Drosophila melanogaster: one gene and its partners. The protein of the gene in region 3 interacts with the protein of the main gene of each other region in a pairwise test. Each region holds a gene or a part of one and is shown on either strand. Other genes may lie near its edges.

What was found.
Region 1: the proteins of Poxm (region 3) and tow interact in a two-hybrid assay, tested with the Drosophila melanogaster proteins (one large-scale study listed by BioGRID).
Region 2: the proteins of Poxm (region 3) and CG6656 interact in a two-hybrid assay, tested with the Drosophila melanogaster proteins (one large-scale study listed by BioGRID).
Region 4: the proteins of Poxm (region 3) and ca interact in a two-hybrid assay, tested with the Drosophila melanogaster proteins (one large-scale study listed by BioGRID).

Annotation. Positions count from the first base shown.
Region 1 is NT_037436.4:6,940,190-6,950,216, reverse strand, and holds tow (target of wingless), read right to left. Parts: upstream 7,362-10,027; 5' UTR 7,211-7,361; exon of another isoform or gene 7,116-7,210; intron 5,786-7,115; 5' UTR 5,527-5,785; coding exon 5,448-5,526; intron 3,954-5,447; coding exon 3,770-3,953; intron 3,717-3,769; coding exon 3,659-3,716; intron 2,970-3,658; coding exon 2,302-2,969; intron 2,247-2,301; coding exon 2,108-2,246; intron 1,940-2,107; coding exon 1,712-1,939; 3' UTR 904-1,711; downstream 1-903.
Region 2 is NT_033777.3:21,872,467-21,879,819, reverse strand, and holds CG6656 (uncharacterized protein), read right to left. Parts: upstream 4,528-7,353; 5' UTR 4,331-4,527; coding exon 4,190-4,330; intron 4,106-4,189; coding exon 4,010-4,105; intron 3,473-4,009; coding exon 3,344-3,472; intron 3,246-3,343; coding exon 3,132-3,245; intron 3,060-3,131; coding exon 2,922-3,059; intron 2,825-2,921; coding exon 2,420-2,824; intron 2,354-2,419; coding exon 2,189-2,353; 3' UTR 2,032-2,188; downstream 1-2,031. Other genes in the region: P5CDh2 (delta-1-Pyrroline-5-carboxylate dehydrogenase 2), read right to left, coding at 1-372, 430-1,010, 1,243-1,322; CG34148 (uncharacterized protein), read left to right, coding at 1,232-1,333, 1,401-1,587, 1,743-1,873; CG31178 (uncharacterized protein), read right to left, coding at 5,008-5,661; CG31431 (uncharacterized protein), read right to left, coding at 6,299-6,948, 7,019-7,232, 7,295-7,353.
Region 3 is NT_033777.3:8,329,278-8,336,592, reverse strand, and holds the start of Poxm (Pox meso), read left to right. Parts: upstream 1-2,800; 5' UTR 2,801-3,468; coding exon 3,469-3,478; intron 3,479-7,315.
Region 4 is NT_033777.3:29,803,278-29,810,640, reverse strand, and holds the start of ca (claret), read right to left. Parts: upstream 3,831-7,363; 5' UTR 3,307-3,830; coding exon 3,039-3,306; intron 2,837-3,038; coding exon 2,235-2,836; intron 2,173-2,234; coding exon 1,635-2,172; intron 1,353-1,634; coding exon 820-1,352; intron 749-819; coding exon 438-748; intron 376-437; coding exon 1-375. Other genes in the region: ncd (non-claret disjunctional), read left to right, coding at 4,015-4,237, 4,297-4,934, 4,994-6,235; CG7789 (uncharacterized protein), read right to left, coding at 6,355-6,896, 6,961-7,339.

The DNA of each region.
Region 1 (10,027 bases), on a different chromosome or scaffold from region 3:
CAAGTCACGATCACAAGTCCAGAGACTTCAGAGGGAAGATGTTAGATGAGCGTCGGTGATGTACGTATCGTGTAGATCTCCTCCGCCCACATCATAGCTATATAATATGGTTTAATCTGGAATCAAATACGCTTTTAATTTGATTAATCTCTTTGTTCCCCCCAAAACAAAACAAAACAAAACAAAAACCCCACATTTAGTTGATAAGCTTTTGGTTTAGTCAAATTGTTAGGGCATTCGAGTGCCGATCATCGATGTTGTTGGCATTTATCTTTCCAGAGCCCTGGGCGTATTTGATTTCTTTATACAATTCTCGAATATTGTACGTATCTATTCATACACTGCAAAATCAATGTTTGCAATGCTCCAAACGAACCCAAGCCAAAAGAGATTAGATACAATCGAATAATGAAGGAACACTAAGTGGGATAAAGCTCCCGGTACACCTTTCACACTATCGGACACATTTACACATAAGAAACAATGTCAATTTCGTGGAATCAAATGCGTATTATTATGTCATCTTAAACCATATTATGTGACTAGTCTAATGAATTGCTTAGCTGGACACTTTTCACATCGTAACAAGAACTTCAAACATAAAACACAAAAACAATAAAACATCAAAATACGTTCAAAAATTTGAAATGTAATTCCATTTTATGTCAGCAGCCCATAAGTATGAATTGATAACAAGATATGAATAAAGGAATTAATTAGAATTTCAACCGTGCGCTTTTAATTATTCCCGCTGATAAGGAAGTCTTTGGGTTTAAACTTAATTGATTTGCTTTTATTTTCCATTTTAAATATATATGTATATATATATATATCCATATAAGAAAAACTATCATACATCCAAAATTATATTATTAATAATAAATAGAACTAAAGTATACAAATATTACTAGACAGCTTCATCCGTTAATTGCATATCCAACGAACATTCCATCATCATCCGCCATCATCAATGTTACACCATTTCGAGAATTTGACGGAAAAATATTTGTTAAAAAATTACACCATGAGATTTATGACTAACAAAATTGCGTGAGAATGTAGAAGTCATTTGTTTGTTACACTTTATATTATTTACTTTGTATGATTTGTGTTTGCTTTTTCTCGGGCTCTAACACCTCCTACTCCGTTTTCAGCATCCGCTTCCGCTTCCGTTTCAGCGACCGCTTCCGCTTCCGCATCTCCTTTGTGGCATTTGCATATATGTATATATCGCTTTATAACGCTATACTCGATTCCTAAGTCTATGTACCTTGCGCTTTTTCGGATCCAACTCGGTATGTCCCTATGTACCTATGTCCCTAGCTTTCTTTGGCTGCCTCTTGAATATCCTTGTAGTTGAATGCTTTATTTGTTGCTCCGCATAGGTATAGTAGTTGCTCATATTGTTTCTTTGTTGCAAATAGTACGCATTTTGGGGATTCTGAGGGTCTGAAACATTGAGTGCAGTTTTACAATTTCTTAATTGATTTTCTTTCATTTTGAAGTTTCTTTTTGGTTGTTTTTTTTTTTTGGCTTTTTCTTTGTTTTTTTTTTACTGTGTGTTTTGTCACGGGTTTCGTATTCTTATAATTTTGGTTAATTTTAGCTTTCCTCTTTGGCTGCAGTTTTTCCAACTGTGAGTGGTTGTGTGTGTGTGTGTGTCTGAACGTGGGTGCATCCTCCGTCTGCCGGCTGTTTACATATATAGATATCACGAGAGTTCCTGCGAGAACTGCGTCTCCAGGGTGGGTCTAGTTCTAGTGGGGTTCCTGCTGGGATTGCGTATCGGTGGTCCTGGGCTGCCATAGCCCGCCGCATACAGCTGCGGGCACGAGTCTTTTATGAGTTCCTGCGTCTCGCGCAACTGCCGCTGCACCTGCGGCGCCAGTCTCTGCACGCTGATGGCCGGCGGGAACTTGTATTCCGCCGCTGGAGCGGCCTGCAAATGGTCAAGTAAATATATTAGTCATTAAGCTAAAAGTCAAGATAATAGGCATTAAGAATTAGTTGCTCATGAGCGCAAATTCTGCAGACAGTAGAATTTTTTAAGAATTCTTCAGCAGACTCAAGTTGCCCTCTAAGATCCAGTACATATAGGATCACTCACCTGTACGCCGTGCATCATCTCGCCGTAGTAGGCGCCCGGCGGAGGAGGCGGTGGCTGTTGCTGCTGGATTTGGCTGTGTGGAGCGGTTGGCGGTTCGTAAGTTTCGGGGGCGTTGCATTTGATGCTGAAATGCACATCACTGTATTTAAATGGATATAATATATATATATATGATGACAGATAGCTGAACCTACCCAGTTGCACAGAGGAGAGTGGTTGCAGCGGGTCCACCATAGATCAGGCGCTTTGGACTCACGCTCTGGGGCTTTGATCCGGCGGGAAGGGTCAGCAGGTATTGCTGTTGCTGCTGCTGGTAAAGTTGCTGCTGCTGCTGCTGATTGAGTTGCAGCTGCTGTTGCTGCTGCAGCTGTAGCTGTTGTTGCTGCTGTTGATGCTGCTGCTGCAACTGGACGAGCTGTGCCGCTGCTGCTGCCGTGGACGTGTTGACAACATTAGGATCCAACTGGGGCAGCAGTATTAGTTGCTGCTGCTGCTGCTGGTAGAGCACTGCCGCCTGTTGCTGCTGCTGTTGTTGCTGCTGCTGCACCACTTGCCGTCCCGTCAACACATGCTGAGGTAGATACTCCGTCGTGGGCAGCGCGACTATCGTCGATGAGGAGGAGGAGGAGGTGGAGGCGGTGACCGCCGAGGCGCTAGAAGGCTGAATCAGCAGGCCGGCGCCACGCGGTGGCTGCTTCAATGGCACCTGCACCTGGCGGATGGGCGTCGTCTGCAGCGAGCGGCTGGCCGAGGAGCAGATGGAGGCCGTAATGCTGGCGGACTCCCAATGTTGACGCAGGGCGTTTAGTCGGGCCTCCTCCAATGCGATCTCCGTCTCGCTGGCCGAATCGTAGTCGGGACCCTAAAACAAGCGTGTTTGTGTTTAGCCAGATTTGGTCACAGACAAGAAGTAAAAGTTTAGCAAAACACCCAGAATATAAAGATCAAATTAAAATACCTTTAAAATGGAAATTTATAAAAGATTTTGTGTCTAACATGTTTAATAAAATAATCAAATTAATCCCCATGGCATATATGTACATTTTCTTGCTGCGCATAAGTTGTTCCAATCTCTTTGAAGTCAAATTTTCAGGTAACAAGCGAATTTTAATGGCTCCTCACATGTTGTTCGAAAAGAAAACAAATAGGGGGCCATAAAACTAATTGTTTTGCTCTTTCGATTTGGGATAGCCAAATACTTAGTGCACTTACATATATATTGATTTTTGGCCATTTGTTTATTATCACGGAACAGCCAATTACACATCAATGTTATGACTAGTTAGCTGATCATTATTTACATTGGTTGAGTTTATATTGCAAAGCTTTTAAAATATATATGTATGTTAAAATTAATAAATTCTATTAAATTACGTATTTGGGGTCAATGAATTTATAGAATTTCGTACTTTCAACTTTTTGTGTTTATAGAAACAACAATTGTTCTCTGTGCTTTATAGCGAGTGATTTAAGTTTTTATACTATTGGGAACCCCCTTGATTTAAATTTCCCATCTGGTATGTGGGAATGTATCACTAAGTGGACTCTCACCTCATCAATCTTCTTGTCCAGCATGCGGAAGAAGTTCTGCTGGCTAGATGATATTTCCCTGGAAAAGTGAGGTGTTCATTTTCGGGTTATGCGGTCGATGGGCTAACTTACTGGCTTTGCAGCAGCGATAGGTTCTTGGCGCGCAGCAGTGAGACGGCCACGTCCTCGTCGCTTTCCTGGATGTCCTTATTGCTTAGCTCCTCGCTCTCGTCGTGCTTCTCGCGGTCGCGCTGCTGTGCCTTCTCAGCATCCTCGATATGGCCTTCGTCCTCGTCCGTTTCGGCATCTGAGTCGGCTGCCAAACAAATGGATAATGCCAAAGAAGAGTTTCGAGCATTAGTCAAGATGAGTGGGCAATTTCGCGAGTGCCATGGAGTGGCAAAAGTTTTGCAATAAGCCAAGTGTGGCAAACTTCTCTGCGAAACGGGGGGCAGTCGCAGTCGAGAAAAATGCTTAGAAAACACTTGTAGAAATTATGCTAGGTCCTGGGCCACTATGGATACTCAAAAAAACACTATCTGCCTTTCAAATACTTAATTATTTATAAAAATAAATAAAGAAATCAAAGTTTTTAGCATCCTTTTTGTACCTGCACGTTTCTGTTTTGCTAATCCATCTTTCGGCTTAGCCTGCGTATACTTAATATTTCCTCGGGCCTTTCTTTGAAGTGGCCTTGCCAGCCATAAATTTAATTAAAAGCCGTTATGCATTTTAATGCAAATTCGGTAAAGCGAGAGCCGCGAGTATTATGAATAATTAATCTAGGAACGAGACTAAAGCTTAGGCGCCTCCGAAATATTTGGGTCGTTTATGGCACAATGGCGCCTTTGTGTATGCTATACTTTTTTAGCTTTAACCCTTTTGCCCACAGAGACACACACACACACAGCTATATACAAACTGGGGGGGGGGGGCTGGCCACGCCCCTTGAAGCGGCGCCCACTGCAACAACAAGTTGCCTTTTTAGCAGTTAATTATACACACACAAAATGAAATAAAAAAGGCAAGAAACACGCACACATAGACACAGACAGCAACAAACGCGCGGGGTTGGGCATAGTCAAAAGTTTGCCATGTAGGCTAGGTTTTTACATTCTTATAAACTTAAATTGGCTAGTGTGCGTGTGTGTGTGTTTATATATAGACAATGCTGTGGGCTTTAAAATGTAGGCCTTTATTATTACTTTGGTGAATGTATGGCCTTAAAACTGGGCTCCTCCTTTCAACTTCCCCTTCTTTTTTCACTGCTGGTGACATATTAATCAATGATGTCCTCATTGTGTGGAAACAGGTGGCTCACACACACACACATGCACGGAAACACGGACGCACACATGCACACACAGCTGGAGGCAAATTGATGTCGTCATGCGTGTAAGCTTTTGTTGTGCGAGGCAATACGTTTTCCTCGCCGTTTCCCCAATTTCCCTTGCTCTACACAGAGGAAAATGCCTAAACGATTTGATAGATCATTCCAAATGATCGGGCATACACAAAGTTGGCAAAACAATATCAATTCTAGCACGCAAAATGAGAATAACATAAAATCTATAAGTAAAATGAACTGAGAAATTTTTGAAGATCAATTTATCAGTATTGCTGATTTTTTATTATATATATGCACATAGGTGGCTACTAAAAATATTTGAACTGTGTATTTTGGGCTTATGAAAACCCTTAGATAACCTATTGATTTGCTTCATCTTTAACGCATTTACGTCTGGTGCACCGTGTGTGGAACTTATAAAGGCAGGTGCCCAAAGGATATACTCTCATTTCGCCTACTCACCATGTCCTCCTTTCTTGCCGTTCGCTTTACTCTTCGATTTTCTGGGATACAAATGTATCTTGCTCTGTCCACAGCCCATCTTTTGAATGTGCCGCTGCCTCTAGAAATCCAGAATCGCTGCTGCTGCCTCTGCTGCTGCTCTTGTTGTTTTTGTTTTCAATTTGTGTTGCTTTTTATTTATCTGTTTTTGTTGTTGTATTATTAATTTGTTGCTCGACACGTTGCTCTCCCGCTCGGTCTGCCGCTCCTCACTCTTCGCGTCTCCGTCACCTCACCGTCTTTTATTTACGTTTGTCGTCTATTCTTTCTTCTGTTTTATTCAATTTTCACTAATTTAACTATGTGTGTAAATTAAATTTATTTGATTTGGTGTTGTTGTTGCTGCCGCTGCCGCCGTTGTCAATTTCGAAAGATTGAGGTAGCAGCAACAAATGCTCCTCGGGGGGGAAATACATTTGTGCGTGAGTTTTTCTCAGGGAAAATGCCACCCAAGCCACCCACTCAACCACTCGCCCACCGATTTCCAGTTCAAACCAAATACAGGACAACTAGGCTAATTCAAGTGAAGTTAAGTTAGTGGAAAACTTATAAATTGATACCAAGTCTAGAATGAACCATTAGTGCAAATTTCTTTAGTAATACTTTTGGTGCTCGTTTGGTATTGAATCAAATATTAACGAACGAATTTGATTTAGTAATATCATTATTAATATGGCACAAACTAAACTTTTAGCTCGAAATTTATGAATATTTCAAGTTTCCACTGCTCGATGCTTCACTGTAGTGGCATTTTCCTCATTTATTTGTCTTCTGTATTTTGGGGACCGTAGCGGAAATTAAGTGGGTCCCTGGCTGGCACTCATCCACTTGTTTCAGCCGTGCTATAAATTCAATTTGCAGCGTCAATTTGTAAACAGGACAAACCCATAAAAGGGTTTTTCTGACCAGGGCTGCAGCAGCACTACGCAAATCGCTCTCCTTGAGAGCCTTTTGTATGTTGTTGATGTTTTCGATGCCTTCGAAGGTGGCTCCACGGCGTTGTGCTAAACGCGCGCGTGGTGCTCTTGTTGTTGTTTATGTTGTCGTTGGTAATTTAAACAAATAATAACGATAATAAGCACAACAAATAGTGTGCAGCAAAAACACTTGAATTATATTCAATTATTCGCAGAGAGAGAGAGAAAGAGAGAGTGAGTGAGAGCACTCGGCCACTCGCTTTTGCTCACTGGATATTATAATAGACACCGACACGCGAGACACACCGCACACCACCACACGCACACATGCGCCCGTTTTGGGGGAAGACGGACACAGACAGGCGCGCGCCAAAAAAGAGAGAGAGAGAGCGCTCCTCGGAGAGAGAGAAATTGATTTTTCTATTTATAAAAAAAAATCAAAATATATCCGCTTGGTTCACATCTTCCTTTTTTTTTTTGATTATTTTATTTTTGTTGCCGCCAACTGGCAGCGAAACATAATTTATGTTTTATTTATGATTGCCGGATTTTCATTTAATTTCCATTCCCATGGTGATTTTCGGCTGGCCGCCGTTTTATTTCGCCCCAAAGAAACTTGTTTGATTTATCTCACTTGACCACTTGGGCGCATTTGGCCATTCCATTCCATTCAGTTAAATAAAAACACAGTCGCAAATACACTATCATTTACCGTTTAACGAACACGCCCATTTATTTACACCGTTTTGTTAATAACTAAGAGGAACTGTCGCCCATTTTTTCGGTTTTTTTTTTCAATTTATTTACACTGGCTTTTTCCTGCGGAAAACTTTGCCGAAAAGTATCTGCGACGCGTTGCGAGTGTGCGGAATTCGTATGAAATTTATGCTGCATGACACTCCTCTTTGTGTCACAAAAAGCGAGAACCGCTCTCAGCGGCATGCCAGCACACACACAACGATGGAGATGAGTGCCCACTGCAATGGGGGTGGGTTTTCAGGCGAAGCTTTCGCACAGGGGTTCAATGCTACCGTGGAGCTGGAGCTTTCGGCAAACGGTTCTGGTACGGGATGTGACCATTTGCGGAGGCTGATCGCAGGTCGGCGCCGTCGGCATGGGGTAGGCGTAGGCGGTGCCAGAAAATGTTAAGGCGTGGTCAGGATCAGCGACGGACACAGAAAAGGGTTGCACTTTCCTCAGACCCAAGGCCCTGTTTCTTTAACGCAACACTGCATCGAAGCTCTAAATCGAGGAACCAAAACTAGTAGCACTCACGATTTCGATGTATATAGGATTCGTTGTGAGCAGGTCCTTCGTGCAGGCCACGAGGCCATTTTGGCACTTTGATTTGGCGTTGGTGTACCGATATGCATTCTTTTTCGTACCATCGATATCGGTATCGATATCGGAAAATACACGCATAGAAGAAGTAAATAAACTTTTCTGGTAGAGCACGCTTTAAGCTCCGTGCCAGGAACTTTTCGAAATTCTTGGCCACGCGACAACTGTTCCAGTAATGCCAAAAAGCTCCAGCAGAGGTCTTGAAGTTTCCAAATGGTGTTTTACACTTACCCCTATTTTAATTTAATTTTTTATGAACAGACTGTAATTGTTCTTAAAACTATTTTGTTTTACTTATTATTTTATATAGACCACGGACATCTCGGACACCACGGACCATACGGATATCATGATAAACCACGGACAATACGGAAACCACGTACTCCGGCATATTCAATATTTCAATACTTTCCTAATATTTCGCAAAAATATTTTCGCACAAAAAAAAAAATCGCGCCCAGTCATGTTAGGCCTCATTAATTTCAACAGCAATGATTTTCTGACCATCGCTCCGCTCCACTTCCGATGGACAGAAATCGCAGGACAAATAAACTACCCCCTGCGATTCGCCCTTCTGCATAATATTAGATGGAACATGTAGATGGCATTATTTATTGCATAATAATGAAGTGAGAAACGTTACAAATCAAAACACTCGACAGCATCTATATAAACTTTCGTCCGTTTCCATTCACTCGATTTTTTTTTATCATTATAATATATTTTTGGGGCAGAATCGCTGGCATTTTTTCCGTGCATTTGTCAGCCGCAACGGAATTGAAACGTTTGCGCTTTTATTGCCACGGACGTGTGTCGTCGTCAGGGGGCTGGAAATGCGACTATATCGCTCTCAAGGGGTGGACAGTTAGGACATCTAGGACATCTACGGACACTACGGACTGGTGGGAAAAATATGAAATGTATATGTCCATGCCAAACAGGAAGTAATATACAACAAATGCGAAATGATATCTTCCCATTGATCTATGGATTGAGCAAAAGCAGGGTGGCATTTTAAGTCTTATATTAATGGTGTTTGGTGGGATTACAGATATCGCTTTCGCTAAACAATTGAAACAAGATGAGCAGAGAAATTTCAACAAAAAAGCTGAACAAAATTTGGATTGTTTGAATCAATTTCTTATATATCATTTTAAGTCAAATTCAACTTTATCTAATGGTAAGAAAGAAAATATAAAAATATTATTTTCTACGCATTTATTATTTAAGTTATTATTGTTAAGTATGTCATTTAGTAATTTCTTCGATAAAATAGTAGAAAAGAAAATAATACAAAAGTCGACTCCATATTAAATGTTTTGTAATATTTTTCCAAGCCATCCTTGAACTTGTTACTCCCCAAAATCATTCCCTAATTATCAGATTCCCTATGCAAGGATTGTCATGTTGGTTAACTGCCGATAATGGCGACATATGTTTCTGGCATTTCTCACATTGTTTGGCATTTCTCCCGTTGTCTGCAACAGTTTGAACCTGTTGGTGTGTCCTGCCAGCATTTAGGCAAATTTTCGCACTCCTTTCAATCTGCGACCTCGCCGGGGAAAACAATTTACATAATTTACAGCGATTTTCCGCAGCTCTTTCCTGATTTCCCAGTCTTTTTGGCCGCGTTGATGATTTTCAATGGGGGCAACGTGAATGACGTTTGATGCGGTGGGCACAACGTTTTGTTTAAATCTCGACTGTCGATTGTGACTATCATGAAAGTGGGCGTATCCTTTAGCCACGTGACCGCACGCGTTGTGTTGAATTTAACACGGAACGGAGTCCTTCCGATCCGGAGACTTGGGTGCAATGCAAATAGGGTGCGCCAATAGACCCGCAAAGCCAGTCAGCCAGCCAAATATTTTTTAAACATTTTTTTTTTTCGCTGGCGAAGGACAACGACGGAGGACGCGTGCAGCCAATAAGTCCTTCATCACTTCCGCTTCAGTTCAGTTCCGTGATTTTGCACAAATAATGTTTTGATTGCGTGGCAGCGTGACGTGTAATTATTATCGCCGCACACAATCGCCATCACCATCGCCATCGTCAACAACAAAGGCTAAGCCCTCGATTCCGGGGGCTCTTTGGTAGGAGAAGGATGCCCAAGTGCGGCAAAGCAATTAAAATGATTTGCCAGATGAAAACCAGCCAGCAGAAGATCCTACGAACTGGTAGCGCATCAAAGAGGGCTGAAGTTCATTCAGTTTTCCAAAGAAAACTAATATCATTTTAGCAAAGCACTTAGTGGGAATGAAAATGACCAATCAAGATTTTATT
Region 2 (7,353 bases), about 14 Mb from region 3:
AGGAGTGTACGAAGTGGAAATTCTTGCCGCCTCCCTCGCCCACCAAACGGGGATAGTTCTGATAGAAATTTATATTCTGGGCCACCAGTTGCCAGAGCACCTTGAGCACCGTTGAGGTACCAGTGAAGTTAATCCCCGCCAATTTCGGATGTTGCGTCACTACGGATGCAAACGTTGTCTCCTCGGCGGGCACAAAGTTCACCACACCATCGGGCACTCCAGCCTCCCGCAGGGCCTTGAAAACGAAATAGTTGGACAGGATGGCCGAGTCAGAGGGCTTCCAGATCACCGAGTTGCCCATTAAGGCAGGCGTATAGGCCAGATTGGCGGCGATACCCGTAAAGTTAAACGGACTGATGGCAGCCACAAATCCTGCAAATAAAAAGTTATAGAAAGATAGAAAGCCATATAAATTATATGGAGACCCACCCGAAAGTCCTCTCAACCGCATGGAGTTCCTGCAATTGTTTTGGATGTCTCTAATGGGTTCGTAGTTGGCCAGCTCACGCAGGAAGACGGGATTAATGCGCATAAAGTCCACCAGCTCGGCTACATCCATCTCCGCCTGGCGCAGCGTTTTTCCCTGGCCCAACATCGTGGCCGCAATGATGTTGTAGCGGTATCTTCCGGCAATTAGCATCGCTGCCCGCTCCCAAATATCAATTCGATCACTAAGCCTGACCTTGTCCCACTTCACCTGCGCCTCCACACTCTTATCGATGGCCATTTGGATGAGCACGCGGTGGGCATGACCGTAATGGGCAATGGGCTGTTGGATGTCGTAGGGCAGAACCTGTTGGAAGTCCTCCTTGGCCTGGAACTCCTGGCCGTTAATAACGATGGGAACGTGCTCTACCCTATTGAGAACGCCCAGCAGGGCGGTTTCCAGTTCCGTGCGTTCCTTTGAGCCCTCGTCATACTGAAGCAGCTTCTCGTTGGCCACCATCTCATCCAGCGTAAAGTGCTCGGATAGCTCGGGTCTCTTGCTGGTACTTCTAACAGACACGAGGCTTAAATAAGATTGAATGTTAGAAAATATGTGTTCGAAAAATAATTTCAAATTACGCGCAATTATCGACTTATCGCTACTGCTATCGATGTAATAACAGTATGTCGATTATCGATTGCAGAACAGCTGTTGATTCGATAAGAGAGCAAAAGTAATAACAAAACCCATGAAAGCCAATTGTTATTATTTTGTGATGCAATAGTTTCAATATTTGGATACAAAATGCAGCTTACCCGCCTTTTACTGAAGCCTCGAGCCTCGGAAGTATTGACCGCATATTTGAAACAATGCCATGAGCCACCTTGGACATCATATTTCGTGAAGGTAAGACTCCCCTTTTTCCGCCCCAATATTTTCACCAGATCTAATGAGAAATATGCTCCAAGTCTAGTTTCACGATGTGGCCAACGATCAGAGGGGAATGTCTCACTTTAATTGGACCCTGGAAAACGGAACCAACTATCACATTCTTCGCACCGCCTGTTATCCCTATATGAAGTACCACTGTAGCAAGAGGGAGGTGCAGGATCTTTGGCTGGAGGACAAGTTCTTTCGCTTCCTTAAGGTGATTAATTTGGGTAAGTCCAGTAAACGGATTATGCTACATAGGTCCGTGGTAACTCGAAAAAGGTGTATGCCCTGTAATGAATCCCGAAATGCATATGGGAAAGTCCTCATTCGAGTTTAATCAAACTCCCAAAAGACCGCATTTATATCCTTAAATTCTACACAGGCTTACCAATGCTCTTCTATGGACTGGCTGCCATCCGTCTAATTAGTCACACCGAGATCGTTCATGTCAGCGAGACGGTAAAAGTTCCCATATACTTTCTATATCCTGAGGACAAGGGCTCAAGCTTTTGATTTGATTTCCTGAACTCCAAAATGTGAAATGTGAAGAAAAGCCTTCTTATCTAAATATATGCATATTCAGTTAATGTAATTAGAAGAGAACACTGGAAATATCTCATCCATATATGTATGTATTTGTCTTTTTGAGATAACTACACCTTGCATTACTTAGTTTGTCTACTTGACTTAGTTTTATTTTAAAGCTATTAATTGAAACCAATTATTTAAAATTATCCAAAATCACATCTGACTATTTCTTAGCAATGGCCAGACACTTAAACAACAACCCAGAACGACACACACTTTCAACAAAGTCTGGAAGGCATCTTATGTTTTGCAATCGGTCGGATGATTTTCACAAGTCTCATCATAGTTATCTAGAAGCAGGGCCTTTACAGAGGCCTCAAACTGGGTCAGTGAGCACGGTGCATCGCAATTGGGAATGGTCAGCTCCTTGGGGAATTTGTCTTCGCTGTTGTAGTAGTAAACCAACTGCAACCAAACAACCCAAACTGGTAAGAATCCCATAGTTAATAGTAATACGCTACCAATACCAACCTTCACTTCAAAGTCTCCATCACTGAAAGACTTGCTGTGATGAAGCTCGAAGGCCAATGCCGATGCATATTCCGGAAGCTTGGTAGTCTGGTCCAGTATGCCCAGGGAATTCATCACGTTAACCAAAGTCACATCATGACCGGAGTACAGGAATATTTTGCGATCGGGATTGAGATTCCTCTTGCGCTTATTCTGCATTTTGTTGAGTATATCCGTAAGGAAAGCGCCACCCTTAATCCGCTTCATTAGATTTGTTTCGGTGAATAGCATATAGCTACGTTCAGCTAGTGGCCTAATCTCCTCGGGGTATATATTCTCAGTCCAATCGGGCAGCACCAGATTAGCTTCCTCTTCGGTTTTGAGTGTGCCATAGAGTAGCTCCACGTCCAGTACATTTGAAATGTTCTAAAGGATAATATGATAATATCAGAAGTGAAAAAGTGAAATATATCGTATGGCAATAAAGGAATTAACAACCAATATGGGTGCAACTCTCTCCCACCTTGCCTGTGTTTTTGGTTAGCAATTTGTACAGCTCCATGTTGTCCTCGTTCAGTTTCTGGAGTTCAGGAGGCGGAGATTTGTAAAGCTTCTGCAGAATGTGGTCATATTTCAAGCACGGTTTCTTTTGGGCCAACAGCTAATAGAGTTAGATCATAGTACTATGATGATGACTTGCATTTGACTAATGGAAATATACAATTGCACTCACGATATCTTCATTGCGAGATAGCGTATTGACGGCCACCGGCTGCCAGGGAATGGGTAGCACATTCTTGTTCTCCAGCGGCGGCATCATGCCGGCCAAGACGCTCTGGGCGCTCATCTAAAAGATAACACACGGCCAACTGATTAGGGCACCACCATCTCGGACAGATAGCAAATAGAGTTATAGAGGATTTCTTATCGAAACAATTGACGCACCACACAGCGTTCCGCGGCCGAGCTGAGCACATTCACCTGCTGCTGGGTGTAAAGGCTGTTCGGAGGCAGCAGACGGTAGTAGCGCATGCGCAGATTCCTTCCCAGGTTGTACGCCTGCAGGCTGCCTTTCTGTCAAAGGGGGTTTAAGAAATTTGTAGAATATAAATATCTTTATTAAAATATATTAAATAGTAATGTATGTTTTACGTGTCTAGCATTAAAGTTTTAGATATCACCAACTTGCATCTATAATTCATTCTTCATTGATCATTTTGGATCATAAAATTAAAACCAAATTGGAGTTTTAAATGCAATGAAACACACTGTTTTACATTATTGACATTATTTATTTACATGATAACCGTTTAATAAATACTCTTTAAAGTGTAAAAATTCGTACGATAAAATGTGTTAATTGGAAAATAAATAAACATAAACGAGAGCGTTATAGTCTAGTTTCTCAGCTAGTGCAAGCAATAATATATCAAATAGTACGAAAATCAAACAATTTTTTTTTAAATTTCCAAAAGAATGGGCGTGTCAGTTTTGATCAGCCCTATTGAAAATTGATGTGTTATCACTTATACGTTTTGAGTTAAGAGAAAGAATTTAAAGTTTAGGTAGGATCCATATCCTAATCTATACTATTGTATATCGAATACTAACCGGCGTGAGGGCTCCCATCCCGCCCTGCCAGTCGTGGGCAGCGTGCGGATCCAACGGATAGAAGCCACTCGGATTCTTGGCACCATGTCGGAACAGCTGGTGGGCATTGGATTGGATTGATAAACACAGTGCTCAGATCTCGTTGTTTACAACTTTATGCCAGAAGTGGCGGCAGCTTACTATGGATATCATGCGTAGATTCCGCAAACCCTGCTCGTCGTTGCTGTCGCCGAACACAAAGTATGCCATCATGACGAAACAGAGGGCACTTCCCAGGGCGATCACCGATATTTTGGTGCCGCGTCGCGATTTGCAGTCCATTTTTAGGGAGGGGGTGCGGTGGCGTCTCTATGCTCCTGCTGCAGTTGATCGAGAAAATATATTTCAGATTTGCAGCCTAAAAATAGTTTTTTGTTTATTTTATAGCGAGTGTTTTCGATTTCGCTGCCCCCGTCGACGAAACAAATAATAAATAAATACAAGTCACGTCCGATGGCAACAAAAGCCGTATAACAACTGAGCGACTGTCGATGGAAGGTTGCCTCACAGCCAGAAAGAGAGGGGGCGCTAAGAAGCGAGAGAGAAGGCTATATAAAACAGAAAGAGCCAGCTAGAGACAGTCGGAGAGCCGGGGAGACAAGTTTTCCATGTGATTTTGGCATTGCGCGAGAGTAAAGTCTTTGAACATGTGCGAATAATTAAATTAGTCGCTCATTGGCAGTACAAATTGGGTCTCGACTAGGTGCTACTGTGTGCAATATGGTGGTCTATCAATTTGCACTCATGTGAAAAACATTGTTTTTCAAGTTATTTGTCTTGCCTTTATATCTTACCTTGCGACATACAACTATCGCTAATCATATACACATGTAAGTTAACCAAATAAATATTTATAAAATATATATATTTTGATCACTACAAATTCCAACGAAAAATCAAAGAGGGTAACGTTTTTTTTCTATAGTCAAACGTAGATGCTGAACTGAAATATGAGATATCTATTTTCTGGATTTTGGTGCCTGTTCCTCGGCATCCTCCTCAGATGGTTCGCTGGTGGGTTCCTCAACCAGGTAACCCTGCTCGGTGGTATATTTGCGCTTCTGCGATACTTTTCTTCGCCTCCTGAAAACCGATTCTAATTTAACGTATTCCCCCGATCTTGACTGCTCGCTAATCTCCACCGATGAATAACTCTTTGACGAACGCTGCGAATCGCCAGATTCCTCAGCTGCGCCGGACTCTGAATTTGAACGGTTTAAGCAGAGAACAATCTCGGGAATTTCATAGCCGTATCCCTCGTCGTCATCGGTGTGCTCATTCTCCATTTGAACATATTCTAGATTTGGCTCATGGAAACATGAGTTGGATTCAATGGTTGGATATATAAGACCAGTTTCCAGATTTTGCCTAGTTGGCAGAGCCAAGTGCGTTTGCATATCCGATTGATAGTGGATAACGCCCATTGGTCCAGCTACATAGGCGGCATTGCTATCTGGAATTGACCAAGTTGATGAAGCACTGGTCATTATGGAGTCAATACTATAGGAACGGATTGCACTCGCATCACATTGGATCAAAGGATACTCATAAATCCCGGGCATTATGTATTCGTAGTATCCCATAACGGTACGGCGTCGCCTCGATCCAGACATTTTGGCCAGTTTGCTCCTGAACAAATGGACGTCTAGTTAACCCTGATCCTGGATAGTTAATTTGCTCGATATTATGAATAATTCTAGTAGGAGAAGTCCCCAATTGGCTCCAGTTGATTAACAATGGCCACTCTCATTCGCATAAAATAGATGCGAACATTTAATTCCCACATCAAGTGAAATTCCAGGCAAAGTTCGATGATCATCAGTTTTGTGGATATCGAGTACCAGTTCTCTAGGGGATTAGGCAGTCTGCTGTAGCGTGTATGGGATTGCTGTAATCAGATGCGATGATGGCGATGTCGGCGGTGTCCAAATGAGGACTTTGTCTGCCGGAAACTGAAGACGAAACAAATTTGGAATTTCATTCGACGAAAATTTTGAACTTTGCTTAGCTTGCCTTAGTTACATGCGAACACTACCTTCACAGACAACCAAGTGGCATAAAAGTATAGGTTTTCTAGATTTTTAAAAATGTCCTTATTGATGTAGGCATTACAGTTGACTCGATTAGCTCTAAAGTTCGCATAAAAAATTATATATTTATTTCAGATTGTAAGTCTACTTTTCATAACTCTATAGACAGTCTTTATCCATAATCTTAATAAGCGTAGTGCAGCTTCAAAAATATTCGGTTTTAATGCTTGTTTCCCCCGAGGACACACCTTTCCGTGTCCAGATCCTCGTCCGAATCTATTCGCTGGCAATCGCCGTGTCCCACAGAGCAACGTTTGTACAACAGATAACTGAACCACACGGTCAATGGAAGAAGAGCCAATCCCAGTGGCATAAGGAAGAGCAGCAGGAACTCCCGTCGATCGCTAGTCGGAACTCCCTCATCTTCATTACCGTAGTCCGACCAGTACTCATTCTCCTGATCCGTATCCTCCACATCGGCCAGCACATCCAGGAAAGCCTCGCGGATCTTATGGCCTCGATAGCTGATGGCCACGCAGGCGTAGTGTCCGGCATCTCGTAATCTCACTCCGTCCAGAATCAATTTGCTGAGATATATCTGGGGTGCCATCATCTTTTCTGGATCGGTGGACAGTAGTTCATATGTTCGACCATTGTACCGGACAATATGGTTGCTAAAATTTGAGGTTGTGGGTGCCGAGGAGGCTTCGCCACCTGACTGAGTTCCCACGTACGTCTGCCGGCGAAACCACTTGATTGTGGGATGCTCCTCGCTGTGAACACGGCACTGGAACACCACCCTACTGCCCACCAATGTGGTCTTGTTGTTGGGATACGAGTCCACAAACTCAGGGGCTGCCAATGAGGTGTCTACAAATAGAATTTATACATAATTTTCGATATGGTATATGGTATATATGGTGATGAAAATTGTACATACTTTTAACATCCAGCTGATAGGTGCGAACCAGTTGAACATCCACAGCCTGGGCTTTATCCCAAATGTGCGGATTAATGCTGCATTTGTACAGTCCCGAATACCGCTCCGTCACATTCCGGAGCCAGAGTTCCGGACGACAAAGACTCGGCTCACATGGCAGAGCAGTCCACTCGTCCACAGATCCCAACTGATGGCAATTGTTTTCGCTGCATTGCTGAAATAGTTTAATGCTAATCAATGGGTACCAACAATAATAATAATAATAATAGTACATACCTTAAAGTACCAATGTATCTTGATGTCATTCAGCATACTCTCATCGACCAGACCTTTGA
Region 3 (7,315 bases):
ATGTTCCAGGACTCAAGTGGGTCGCATAATCACGTGTCGATGCCTTTTTCGTTTGGGATTTATGCGCGTTTATGGGAGTACCGCTGCCGTAGACAATTTGACGCTTCCGCCTACTCCAGCAGTTGTGCACTGGGGAAAAATGTTGTTCGAAACGATACAAAAGGTAAGATACTTACAAAATTACTATATTTTTTTGTAACTTTAAAAGCGGCGATTTCCATTGTTAAAGGACTGTGCAATATGATAATTTTATACGAATAATAAATGAAAAAATGTATTGATAACAATTAATAAGGTGTACTTTATAAGTTAAATTCTTTTCAAAACATATATCCAAACTTCTGTATCTATAATTCCAAAGTGTTTTTTCCCAGTGCATAGTCCCCGCCCATCTGGCGCAATCTTATGTAACTTGTCCTCCTCCTCTGACTTATATGTGTCAATTTAATAGCGCATTTGCCACTTTATGACATACGATGCTGCTCCTGGTACTTGGACTCCTTTTCCCAAGTCCCTGGTGTTAGCTCCTTTGTTTTCTCAAGTGCCTGGCAGATTCCACATCGACTCCTTCCACTCCCGCTTGTTTTATAACACAGGAAGATACAACTGGAAAGTATCCGTGAAGGAGAAAAAAATAAGCGGAAAACGCACAGTGTTCATTTGTTATGCTTGTCATTTGTCGCTGGCTGCCGGCGACTTCAAAGCCTGTCACCCAATTTGTTAAACGCGGAGACAATTTTGTCATCAGCTCCCCCAATTCTTTATCCCCAATGCTTTAGTCATCAAATTGAAGCTTTGGCCGCCGGGGAAGAATTCTTGGTTTTCGCATATGGCCAATTATTTTGTAAGTCGATCCATTACGTATCGGAGATTTACTTCTTAGCGTTTGGATTATTTTATTAAAAGATTTACTTAATTGTTTTTAATGATTAAATAAAGCTCTTCAACTTGATCTATTATTATCTATCTAGTATTACTAAATAAAAAGAAAAAAATTGTTTACTCTATGATGATTTTGTGTTTCCCTTTAATCATTTCGTTCTTAAAAGTAAGTAGAAAACTGAACAAGAAAATGCATTGTTTTTACAATATTATTTAAATAATATGTATTTATGTTTATTACAAAATCAAAATGCCAATGTAATAGATACATTTTAAATGTTTTTAAAATTTATATAAAAATTATAAAAAATTAAAAAGACAAGTAATTTAACAATAATGAATTGTATTAGGAGAGTTTAGTTTAAATTTTTTAAAGTACATTGTAACTATAAGAATTATTTGTTTTAAAACAAAGGCAATGTCGGAAATGGCGTTCGTCAAACCACAAAATGCAGGGAAATGCAGTCGGCAATGAGCAGAAATCAGAAAGTGACAGGGAGAGGGCCAATTGGATTCGCAACAAAAGGTATGAGCAGGTAAGCGTAAGCCAACTCAAGGAGGTGTGTCCAACGCGCAACAGTGTGTGTGGGCCAAAACACACACACACGCGCACTAAGTGCACACACAGCCATGCTAAACAGCCAGCGAAGAGAGCGAGCACAACATTAAGAATAGCAAGAGCGGCGATTTGACCATTTTAATGAGGGAATGACAACGACAATTGGCATCTATCATTAAATGGCGGTATTCAGAATTAGTGACAATCAGATGAAGACGGCATTTCTTATAATTAACTCTAACCAAGCAAGACGCAACGCCTCAGCGAGAGTTGGCATCACGCATACGCCGCATTGGCCGGGAGGTGGATCCCTGGGGATCTACGGGGTTAGCTGTCTGTGCCGCTTTATTAGCGATATGGCTTTCTTAATGAACCAAAAATAGATGCACGCGCTCCGAGAATTCCCACAGCCCCGCCCCTTTCCTTTTCCTTCCGTTTCTCTCCTTCTATCCTTCTCCCTCGGCTCCTTTTTCGTCTGCTCCTCATCTGTGTGACACTAAGAAGTCATGACATCGCTCGCCCACCCTGCGTAACGCTACGGATACGCTTACTTGCTTCAGATTGGCCATTCAAGCATTCAGAAATTAACTCCGCCCGGTTGCGTATGCTCACTCACTCGGTTCGGTTCGTCTGTGTAGGTATTGCAGCGGAGAGAGAGCGAGAGTACGAATTCCGATCCATGGATACACCCACACATCCGTTGGCACACAAACACAAAGTTGAGCGACTACAGGAGCGGTAACTGGGGAAAAAAGGAGAGATGGGTTGTTAGCTTAGTTTATTATCCATCAGCAAGAAAACGGAAATATGTTATGATAAATAATAAAAAAATTGTATAGATTATTGTGTATAACTTGATGTAATAAAGTCTTAAAAACCTTCTTCTAAACTTCTGAATTCGATCTCTTTATTAAAATATTTAATTTATATGAACCCTTTACTTTAAACACTTACAAGATATTTCGATACCAAAGTTACTGGCGCCTTAACTCTTCTGGGCTTACCCTCAATTCGCTGCCTGCGCTCCTGATCGCTGAAAGACATTCTTCATTTTTATTATTTGCCCGCGGTCCACCAACAAACGCACACCAGTGCGCGATCATCGCCATTAAAACCCACATATACGCTCGACCGACCGCCCCTTCCTCTCACGGATGAGTGTGTGTGTGCTTGCGGAGGAGAATGCGGAGAGTGAGAAAAAGAGAGAGCGAGATCTTGGGATGCTGCGTCGACGCGGTGGCTTCCACTTCCACTTGAGCCTGTAGATGTGGATGTGACTGTGGCTGTGGTGGTGATATTCAATGTGTGCGTGGACGTGGATTGTGGGCGATCTTGATCGGCAGCGCCGCGGGCAGCGTTAGTCGCAGCAGACACGGGTGACGAGCAGCAACGATCGTTTTTGGAGAGCGCGCCAGGTTTTCCCGATCCAAACCGTTCCCAACCGATACGCTACGACCCGATACGCTAGAGCAAAAAGGCCATCGAAAGATTTAAAGGCGCGCGCACGGATCAGTGAATGCTGTTTAAATCGGTTCATTTGCAAACCATCAATCGCACGGGAGGTCCGCCAGTCAAGTCCAAAGTAAACCGACATAATTCCCAAAATCAAAGCATAACAAACCCATTGTAGTGTCATTAAGTGTGTGTAGTTCCCGCTTCCCCAATAAGGTGTGATAAGTGCGTGATAATTTTCGAGCCAACCTACTCGAGAGCGATCGTTTTGGCCCGAAAATGTGCTAATCAGATCTCAGTCTTGGTTCACGGCATAGTAGGCATCGCAGCCCGATGCTGTCCCGCACAACTGGCGCCAATTTGTATACAAATTTCATGCCTTAATTGAAACTCACATTATAGCCAAGTGCGAAAAGTTAACGACTAGGTAACCACCGACAATCCCCAGCAAAGCAGAGTCCAACTATTCCGGCGAATCCAATCGGAGAAAGTTCCACGGCGGAGTTGGCGAAAGGCAGATTTGGGTGCCCACAATTGCAATTCTGGAGTTCTTCAATCAATTGCCATCGGCCGAAATGGACCCAGGTATGTCTCAATCCATGACTCACAAAGATATAGGCCTCAGAATTCATTTCCAAATTAAAATTTTTAGATCTATCGGCATTTTTGAGGTGCCGACGGCATTGGGTTTCTTTAAAAAGCGTAGTAGCTATTTTATTGATAGATTTGGGTTAATATAATCAGAAAAACAAGAATATGTATATTGCAGGAAATATTGATAAGACTTTTGAAATCACATTTCCCTCTCTATCTTAAAATATAAGGTAACGAAAAGACAAATTCAAAAGTAGCACTATATTTTCACTTAAATCTCTTAACTTAAGCCCGCCACTCGAGTGTTTTGCCAATAAAGCCCTCTTGTCCGATCCTCCAGCCAAGTCCTTATCCGGATCCCCTAACTGCTTGGGATAAACACAATCGCTCGCTGGACCAACTTCTTTTTTTTTTTTTTTTTTTTTTTGGGCAACATCAAGAGGCAGATGTTTGCTTTTGATTTTCGTTTCAAAAGGCTGCCGTCGCTTGGCGCATGATCGACAGCCTCGCGGTAGCCGCGGCACTTGTTTGACTTTCGATGATGTCGCCGACGTCCGCACACGTACCCGATTCCAAAACCCAAAACCCTAAACCGAAAATCCAAAACCCATAACCCCAATCCCAATCCCAAACTCCGGAGCCAAGGCTCCTAATTTAACTAATGATCGTTGTAATGTTTCTGCCTTTGTCGTGCGGTCTTCACTTTTGGCTCCAAGTGTCCGTGTCTCTGTTTGTCCATGTGCTTTGGGCCAAAAGCAAAATGCGAGTGCAAGACATGGCCTTATGGCCGAAAACTACGCTACACAAGTGTGTAAAGATTTGATCAGTTCTCTCAGTTGTTGACAAACATGTGCGCAATCGAATAATTTGGCATGCGTCGATTTACTTTTACAAATTTCGAATTGCTTAGATCATCTTTTGAAATAATTTGCCAATAGTTTTCAATTTCTATGAGTGACATACAAGTGTGACTGACTATGGGTAATCTTTTATAATGGTATTCCCCACTTAGTTTCAAGTATTTATTTGTTTGCTTGAGCCTCTTTATGGCAAAGTATCAAAAGGACATACACGAATATATATTTTTCCACTTGTCCGAGCTGAAAAGAAGTTATAAGTCGGCTAGGAGGTCCCGCACTTTTGGTCCATTAATGACATGCTTTCGATGTTTTGACATTCTGTTTGTACGCCAGCATTGTTTGCTCACTAGGAGACGTCGAAAAAGATATAGACGCCGATGCAGACCCATGCTCATGCCCGAACCCAAACCAAAACCCAGACTCTGGACCAGAGGTGCAGAAATGCGTGACTAACGGCCACCGGTAGCCATCTACTTCGGTAGCTAAACATGAAAAGCCCACCAGACGCGGGCCGCAAGTGCAAGATGTTAAAATCACAGAAGGGGCAGTAAAACAAAAGGCGCAGACGATGGCCACGAAAGGCAGGCAAACACTTGAGATCCGAGGAGGAAAACGTCGCGTCAATGTGTACATGCCTTAATGGAAGAGTCTATATGGTATGGGAGTAGGTGCCCAGGAGCAGCGACTGCGGGAGGATGCGGCGGGGACTGATCTGAAAGCCCGACCAGTAGCTTCCTCCCGTGGATACCGATGATTGCGGTTCGGGTTTGGGAAAACGCTTCACTGCCTCGGCTTGATTGTGTGGCGTCGTTTCCCCTGAGTTCTTTAATTAAATCACATCCCCGACCGCTGATGCGGAACATTCATTAAGCGCATTTGCAGTCATTTTGGGCATTGCTCGGCGAGCTTAAAAAAGTTGCACTAAATAGGCTTTGAGTATAATTAAAACCTCCAAAACCCTTTGCATTTTATCCTTTGAATAGTATGTTCTACTTTTTGTTGTAATATGCTAGGTTTCTCACTGTAGATCAGTTGACATTTGCTCCCTTTGGGCGTGGACATCTCCCCATGGATCCACAACCTCTGACATCTGACAAGTGTAGTTCATGTTCTTGGAAGCAAACTCAGCTCATTACCATATATTTAATGAGTTTCTAATCGTTAGGGGGCACGTGTTTGAGCCAGTTCATTCTGGGATAATGAATGCGATCGCATCAATAAGCGGGCGGCTAACATCTGGTTCTAACCCCTAACCCCTAGACTCTAACCCCTTGAGATGGCCTGTGTCAAGTCCCATGGGGGCGATGGCGACCCAAAACCGGAACTGCCACAATCATTCCAAACTCCATTTCTCAGTCTCGAATTTGGAGTCCTAGGATCAGAGCTGTGAAACTGGCTATTTTCCAGCTAGCTCTAGAAGTTCATTTCATACAATAAAATGATATGAAATTATGTAGCTAAAGGAAATTAAAGGGTTTGTTGTTAAAAGATAGTTTACCGCTAAACAATACAATAACAATTCCATGTAAGTGCCTCAGCTACTTTCCGAATCCCTAGTGGGCAGGATTGGGGAGTGGGTGAGCTGGTGCACATGTGGTTAGATTTATATGCATCTCGCCGCTGTCAGCGAAGGGCGTTGCACATTGCTCGAGTGCCGGCGAACCCGAACTGCAGCGGAGTTGTCGGTTCTAGTACATTGCCAATGATTGGTCGGATGCGTTGGATCTCCTTTGGGCCTGTGGGACGGGATCGGAACTCTGGCCATGGGTTTGCCATCGACATCGAGCACATTTCGGCTACGCACTCGCATTGTGCGCATTCCTCGTACGCGTAATTGAAGTCGCTGCGGCATCTTCCCTTTGGTTTTTTCTTTTTTTTTTTCGGCTGGGCCGCACCCCTTTCGAGTTCCTCGAGCTCGCTGGCTAGAGCCGTCATATTTGCTAGCCTCCTCCAACTGGGCCCCATCTACCAGTTTTCCGAAGGGGGCGGAAGAAAGGAGCTAGTGCGTCGCTATCTTGGCGGTGGCTGTCGTGATTTATGGACTCATTAATTTCTGTTGACAGACAATGCTGTTGACGCCGCAGGAATCTATTTAGCTTTATGTACTTTTGATTCCCACTTGCTGGGGCGCCTATCTTATGGGCTCCATTTATAATTCGAGGCGCTTGCACTTGATCTGAAAACGGAAATACGCGAGCAGATGGCAAGCTAGATCGAGACACTTAAAATTTCTCTAAAATGCCAGTTACCAGCTATTAGCGTTCCTTGGGGAAAGTAGCCGTAAGGAGTTGCATTTCTTCGTCTGGTTCAAAGCAGATTCGATAGATGTTAAGTAAACATAAAGCGATGCCAATCATGACTCTTTTCCATTGATAACACTTGGGATTGAACTCTGCAGCAGATTAAAAAGGAAAATGGCATTGCCAGCGGATCAAAGTGACAGACGTAGAGTGGCTTCCTCTTTCTCTTGGCGCGACGATTCTGTGAAATTCACTGATAAATAAATGCGATTGTGCGGCAAATTGTGCAACGCTCCGAATGCAAAATTGTCGACAAGCTCTCGCGTAGTTAGTGTAGAACCAAAAAAAAAAAAAAAAAAATTAAAACCCAACTATTTATAAGTCGATGAGGACCGCAACAATGTGGGCAACCAACTAAAGAGTGAAAAGGGGCGGGCCACATGGCGTATACGCGACGCGTTGGCTGAGCCTCAGCTCAAGTCAACTGAGTTGTTAAATTAATTTTTTCTGCATACCGAATGCATATAAATTTATATATGCTGCAAGCAACCGGCGGCAGAATTAAGAAAATAAACATATGAAGGCATCTCCCCACCGCGATGTCGCTCCGTCAATCAACCTGCTGGGTCTTCGGAAGGAGATGGAACCGCTTGCCAAGACCCAAGATTTATGGGAGCAACCCGCCGTCGAAAATGCATTCGCACATATTGTATAGTTATGAGAGGGGA
Region 4 (7,363 bases), about 21 Mb from region 3:
TCATGTTTCTCGGGCAAGATTACACGGACATCCTCCGAGTGACGATACGTAATGTCTCCCAAAATACCCTTGAGCAGCGGATGACCTAAGTACCGCGAGCGCAGCAGATATGTGGACTTGAGGGCCATAGCACTTAGCTGCATTAGAGCGTAGGTGTGTCCATACATGGCCAGTTTCAAGGCTGTGCGTATTGGTTTCACCCGCGCTTTGTTGTACGTGAGCAGAGCCTGAGTGATCTTCTTCCGCCTGAGCAGGTAATCCCCGGCAAACTCGATGCACTGCTCGAAGGAGAGGTCGAAGGTGTTGCAGAAGTCGCGGCACTGGTTGAACTCGTTCTGCAATGCGGCATCCAGGAACAATTCGAACGGCTCCTTTCTGCAAAAAGTAATTTCAATTCAGTAAGCGATTTCGAGCGTAGCAACCAATTCAAAACTTACTTCAGCTGTATGGTGTACACATTCTTATTGGTGATCACATAGCTTGGATCGTAGTTAATTTTCGGAAACTCGGACTGCATAATCTCCATTTGCCGCAGAGAAAACTCACTGCTAACATCCGCCGTCTCGTAGAACTGGATGTAGTCCATGGGCGTGTGGATATCCTTTAGCTCAAAAGCCTTGGCCTTCTCCTCTTTGGTAAGCGTCTCTGGTTCGGCGGAGGGATTGCGATACTGTGCCATCTGATATAAATGCAGCACAGTTTCATTCTCGAAGCGGAAGAGACCTAGCTGAGCCAGATTATTAAAGCGCTGCCGAAATCAAAAGAGTGTTTATTAGGGACTCGTAATCGTACAGGTCTTTGAAAGCGCCTTCAACTCACATCTTCGTCGGAGGTATGCAGGGAGGCCATTGCGCTGCTGATCACGGACACGGCATTGATGGCAGTACTGGGCATGTCGCTTTGATCTAGGCTCGATGTGGCTGTGGTGGTTGCGCTCGTCGAATCGCTCTTCTGGGCACTCACATCCGACTGATCCACCTTCTCAATGTCCGCGTCGCGGTTCTCCTTTTCCGTGTTCGCGACTAGCGGGTCGTCCAGCAACGATGCCGCCGTGAAGTGGTCCGAATCGCTGCGGCAGTGCAGGTCCACGTAGTGTATGCCGTAGAGTATGTTGGAGCTAATGAGTATTTCCTGGGTGTGCTTGGGTATCTTGTAAACGAACAGCGGCTTCAGGCTGATGTCGATGCTGTGCACGGTCAAGCTGTGGCTATTGCTGTGCAGGGCACTCAGCAGAAAGGTGCTGCGCAGGTTCTGTATGTTGTAAAAGGATCCGGAGGTGGTGCCTAGGGGCTCCGGCGTAACCGACGGCGAATCCATGATTGCAAACGAGCCCATCGTGGAGTCCGGCATAACTGGAACAGAGGGAATGGATTACTTTTGATATCATTACATGGGATTGCAAGTCTCGAGCTGTTTCTACTTGGTCTGTCAAGTGTGAGAGTTGTGCAAACTCACCACGCAAGCGACGCTTCAAAAGATGCAACAGTTCTCTTAAAACTGCACACCAATAAAAAAAATGAAAAATTCACAATAAAACGGCAATTAAATTAACAAATATAAACACAATGTAGGCGAGAAAATATGTTAAAGTAGGGAGTAGAAAAACGTATATCTTGTTACGTCAGCTTACGCACATTCATCGAACTTTTGCCGCTGATCGGAAAGTCGCATCTTGATGGCCTGCAGCTTCTTCGATCCCAGACTCTTGAGCGAAGCCAGTCGGGCTCTCGTGGCGGGCAGAATGCCATCCATGCTGCCCGCTGGCAGCTGTTGTTGCTGGAAGCGAACGCCGCCTTGGTCACCGGATTGCCTAGCCACTGCCTCACTGTACGAAGGCGGCGCCGGTGGTGGAGGCACGTCTGCAGTGGCTGCCTCTGCGGATGCCGAAACAGTGGACGGGTCTGAGTTGGCTGCTCCTGGACCACTGCATACCACATCATCGCTGGACGGAGGCGCGAACACATCCTCTTCCAGTTGGCTACTGTCCGAGGCCGGATCGGAACTATTGCTTTGTCGGGCGCCTGTCGCCGCACTCTGATGCTTGTCCTGCACGGACATCACGATCTGCCAGGCGCCCTCGCGGGTTGTCGGGGAACTGTCTCCGGGATAGACGTATTTGATTGCCTTTTGCTCCAGCAAAAGTTTGTACTGCTGCTTCAGGGAGGAAGTTATCTGAAAGACGGTAAACCATATTCTATCATCTGGAAATCTATATTAGTAGAATAGTTCCTTACCAGCAGCATAACACCATCGTAGGCTTTATCTTTGCAGATAACCAGGCGCATCACAGATCCGTTTTCGATGGCAGTGCTCGCAATCATGGGGCAGTTGGGACTCAGGCCCACAAAGCAGATGGAGCCATCCGAGTAGCCGATAATGGCCCTATTCTGTCCACTGTTGGTCTTCCACCAGACGACGGACAAGGGATAGGGGCAGGTCTTGGACGCCATGAAAGAGGCTGCCATCACCTGGCTATTGCCGGTGGTATCGATCGTCTGCTGCTGCTGCGGCAGTGGCTGCACTGCATCCTCAGTTCCGCTATTTCGCACCAGCATGTGCTCGGGCAGGTCGTGGCCAAGAGGCTCCTCCTCTTCGCCTTCCTGCAACCTGGCCTGCTCTAGGTTCTCAGCCAACTGATCCATTGGCTCCGCCGTGGACTCTTCCAGACCGGTGGAGTGATTGGGGCACTTTTTGGAGTTGGGACACTCGTGGGGGCCCACAAAGGGGATGATGTAGGAGGTGACCTGGGTGGTGCTGTAGAGCGAGCAGGCGGACAGTCCATGGGCCTTGTCCACCAACGCCAGGGCGGGCACGATGTGCAGTGTGTTGTCGAAACCTGTTGACAGAGCAGTGGATAAGTGGTGTTTGAGCAAGGACTCCATTCGATCGTTAAATCAAAACAAAGGGGAGGCAGCAGAAAATCAATAACCATACACGCACACATGGGGGCAAAGTAATTTTAGCAGCACCACCACAGCAACCACCCACCCAACACAAAAAAGTGGGTGGTGCTCATGCCATCATACGCTGAAACTCACATAGCACCAGCAGCCAAACGCCCGCCGGATCGAAGCAGACGTCGTGGATGACGCGGTTGCGGAACCAGGATATCATCTTGACCACCTCCTGGCCGGAGGCGGCGCTTATGTAGCGCAGCAGGATCTCGTTTTCCTCAGAAACGAGGCATAGGAACTGTCGCTTTTCGTCCAGCCCCGCTGTCACCGCGGACAGCTTGCAGCTGATGTTAGTGATCAGCGGGCGCAGCTCGAACATGCCCAGCTCCTTGAGCTCCGCCTGCCCCGACATCTCGGGGGGATTGGCGGACGTGGGGGAAGCCAATTTTAAAATTCACAAAATCAGTTCGATGGGAACGAGCCTTTTCCAATCCGAATGAAAACAAACTAGAGATGGTCGCGTGAGACCTGCGGCCGGTCTGGCAACGACCCGATCACGCAACTGCTTTCCAACTGGAACGCAATTTCCACAGCTTTTTCGAGGCAACAAATAAATTTCAGAATAGCGCGGCCTTCCTTCACACCGCACAAGCTCGCAAAAAGAAAGCAAAACGCTTTCAAGAAGTTCGCCCCGGATTGCCGCAACCGTCCGGCAACGACACTAGTGCTGCGCACAAGACTTCACTCTTCAGGCTGTTGAACAGTCCGCCGCGACTTTTCCACAAAATGAACGGTTCGAATGCAACAGCCACCGTATTTCACACCCGCTTGGGTGAGTTTCACGCGCCGAAAACCTGCGGGATGCACGAGTCAAGGCGAAAATTTGTGCCCGAGGGCCAAAGCTGCAGCACTGAAAACATCTGATTGACAAACTGGAAGTCGTCTTGGCTGGCAACGCCGTACTCTCCCGACAAATGGTCACACTGCCCCAGAGCATCCCTGCAATCAAAAATAACGGCGGGAATCGACGGCGTCGCTTGTCAACAACGCAAAACTAATTGATAAAATCGGTTGCAAGGAGGCAGACGTATCTTCTAAGTTAGGCACAACACAGTTGGCGATGGAATCCCGGCTACCGAAACCGTCGGGCCTGAAGAAACCCCAAATGCCGATTAAAACCGTGCTGCCCACAGATCGAATTCGCGCAGGATTGGGAGGTGGAGCCGCTGGAGCAGGCGCCTTCAATGTCAATGCCAACCAGACATACTGCGGCAACTTATTGCCGCCCCTCTCAAGGGACCTCAACAATCTGCCCCAGGTGCTGGAGCGTCGCGGAGGAGGAGGTGAGTAAAGAAGCATCCTTCCAAAGAATTCACCTTAAGTCCTTGCTAATTTCCGATAGCACGTGCCGCCTCCCCAGAGCCCATGAAGTTGGGCCACCGGGCCAAGCTGAGACGTAGCCGTAGCGCTTGCGACATCAACGAACTGCGTGGTAACAAGCGCACTGCGGCTGCTCCTTCATTGCCCAGCATTCCCAGCAAAGTATCCCGCCTGGGCGGTGCACTCACTGTTTCCAGCCAGCGACTAGTGCGTCCTGCGGCGCCTTCGTCAATAACAGCAACAGCTGTCAAAAGACCACCAGTAACGCGTCCTGCTCCACGGGCTGCAGGAGGAGCAGCCGCCAAGAAACCAGCAGGAACAGGAGCAGCAGCTTCGTCAGGAGCCGCGGCTGCTGCTCCCAAGCGCATCGCTCCCTACGACTTCAAGGCCCGCTTCCACGATCTGCTAGAGAAGCACAAGGTGCTTAAGACAAAGTACGAAAAGCAAACAGAGGACATGGGCGAGCTGGAGTCCATGCCTCAGCAACTGGAGGAGACGCAGAACAAGCTTATCGAGACGGAGTCCTCGCTGAAGAACACCCAGAGCGACAACGAGTGTCTTCAGAGGCAGGTGAAGCAGCATACCGCCAAAATTGAAACAATCACATCGACGCTGGGCAGGACCAAAGAGGAGCTATCCGAGCTGCAAGCAATACATGAGGTGAGTACTCAAGTAAACAGAAACCCAGGTTAAATGTAACAACAATGTGTGTGTTGCAGAAAGTAAAAACGGAGCATGCTGCTCTAAGCACAGAAGTGGTGCATCTGCGCCAGCGCACCGAGGAACTCCTGCGCTGCAATGAGCAGCAGGCCGCCGAGCTGGAGACCTGCAAAGAGCAGCTCTTCCAGTCGAACATGGAGCGCAAAGAGCTGCACAACACGGTCATGGACCTGCGCGGCAACATCCGGGTCTTCTGTCGAATACGACCGCCGCTGGAGTCCGAGGAGAACCGTATGTGTTGCACCTGGACCTATCACGACGAGTCCACCGTGGAGCTGCAGAGCATTGACGCACAGGCCAAAAGCAAGATGGGCCAGCAGATCTTCTCATTCGACCAGGTCTTCCACCCGCTCTCCTCGCAGTCGGACATCTTCGAGATGGTCTCGCCGCTCATCCAGTCGGCCCTGGATGGCTACAATATCTGCATCTTTGCCTACGGACAGACGGGCAGTGGCAAGACCTACACAATGGACGGAGTGCCGGAGAGTGTGGGCGTCATACCGCGCACGGTGGATCTGCTCTTCGACTCCATCCGGGGATATCGCAACTTGGGCTGGGAGTACGAGATCAAGGCCACCTTTCTGGAGATCTACAACGAGGTGCTCTACGATCTGCTGAGCAACGAGCAGAAGGACATGGAGATTCGAATGGCCAAGAACAACAAGAACGACATCTACGTGTCCAACATAACGGAGGAGACGGTTCTGGATCCAAATCACCTGCGCCACCTCATGCACACGGCCAAGATGAACCGTGCCACCGCCTCGACAGCTGGCAACGAGCGCTCCTCTCGTTCCCACGCGGTTACCAAGCTTGAGCTCATCGGACGCCATGCCGAAAAGCAAGAGATCTCCGTGGGTTCCATAAACCTGGTGGATTTGGCCGGCTCTGAGTCTCCCAAGACGAGCACCCGGATGACCGAGACAAAGAACATCAATCGCTCGCTATCGGAGCTCACCAACGTAATCCTGGCGCTGCTGCAGAAGCAGGACCACATCCCGTACAGGAACTCCAAGCTGACGCACCTGCTGATGCCCTCGCTGGGCGGCAACTCGAAAACGCTTATGTTCATCAACGTCTCGCCGTTCCAAGACTGTTTCCAAGAGTCCGTCAAGTCGCTGCGCTTCGCGGCCTCCGTAAACTCCTGCAAAATGACCAAGGCCAAGCGGAATCGCTACCTGAACAACTCGGTGGCCAACAGCAGCACACAGAGCAACAACAGCGGCAGTTTCGATAAATAAAGAATGCATTCTGAGCCCAGTTTTAACAATTTTCAAATTTCTAACCTGTTATTGCTTAATTTATGTGTGTTTACTTTTAGTGCAAATAAACTAATAAAGTGCTGGAATTCAAAGCTATCTCACTTGGCTCCCACTGCTGCCCGCACCTCGGCGGGAATCTTTTCCACCAGCGCGGCATGGTCCTGTCCCAGGCTGGCCAGCACTCCCTGTCGATTCACGTGCTCCACATCCGCATTGTAGGCGTAGTGCTCGCCGTTGATGTTGGTGAGGCAGCCGCCCTGGGCCTCTAGAACGGCCTCGGGTGCGCAGGTGTCCCACTTCTTGCAGCCCGGCGTGGCGAAGACGTACGCGTGGGCCTTTCCCTCCAGCAGCTGGAGCACTTTGAACCCAGCGCCTCCGACTTTCAGAACTTCTGTGGATGCGAATGCGTTGAGGGCTTGCTGATGCAGGGCATTGGAATGCGAGCGAGTGGTGGTTATGATGAACTGGCCGGCTGGCGCGGGGACTGCCGTGAATCCTCCCGTGCCCAGACCCTTCAGGCCCCAAATGGTGCGACCCATTTCGCCATCGGGCTGTTGGTAGAATGGCTGATGAATGATGCCGCCCACAGCAGCATCCTTCACGGCTATGCCGATCAGGACGGTCACGTGTTCAACGTGTCCTGCGGATGAAAGGAGAACATTTAGTTTTATATAAGGAGCTCTACAGGTATCTCCAGATCGCACCCTGTGTATACTCCGCTGTGCCGTCTAGGGGATCTACCCATATGACAAAGTCCTCGGGCTTGACATCCTTCCACTCAGCGGGGCAACTGTGCTGCAGGAATTCCTCATCCAACTCGTTCACCAGCCAGTCGTCGCAGACATTCAGATCGGATCCACCCTCCTCGCCAATGATCTTGACGGTGGGGAACTTTTTGGCCAAGGAGGCGATAATGCAACGCTGGGCAGAGCGATCTGCCTCCGTCTGCGGATCGTTCTTGCCCTTGTCCACTATGCCCAGGTCACCCTTCTTGAGCACGTCGCGTATGATGCCGCCAGCCCGCTTGGCGGTGCTGATCGAGGACGCCATGACGCGCATAATTACCGGAGCAGTTGCAGCCATCGTTATTTTATTTGTATGGGACAA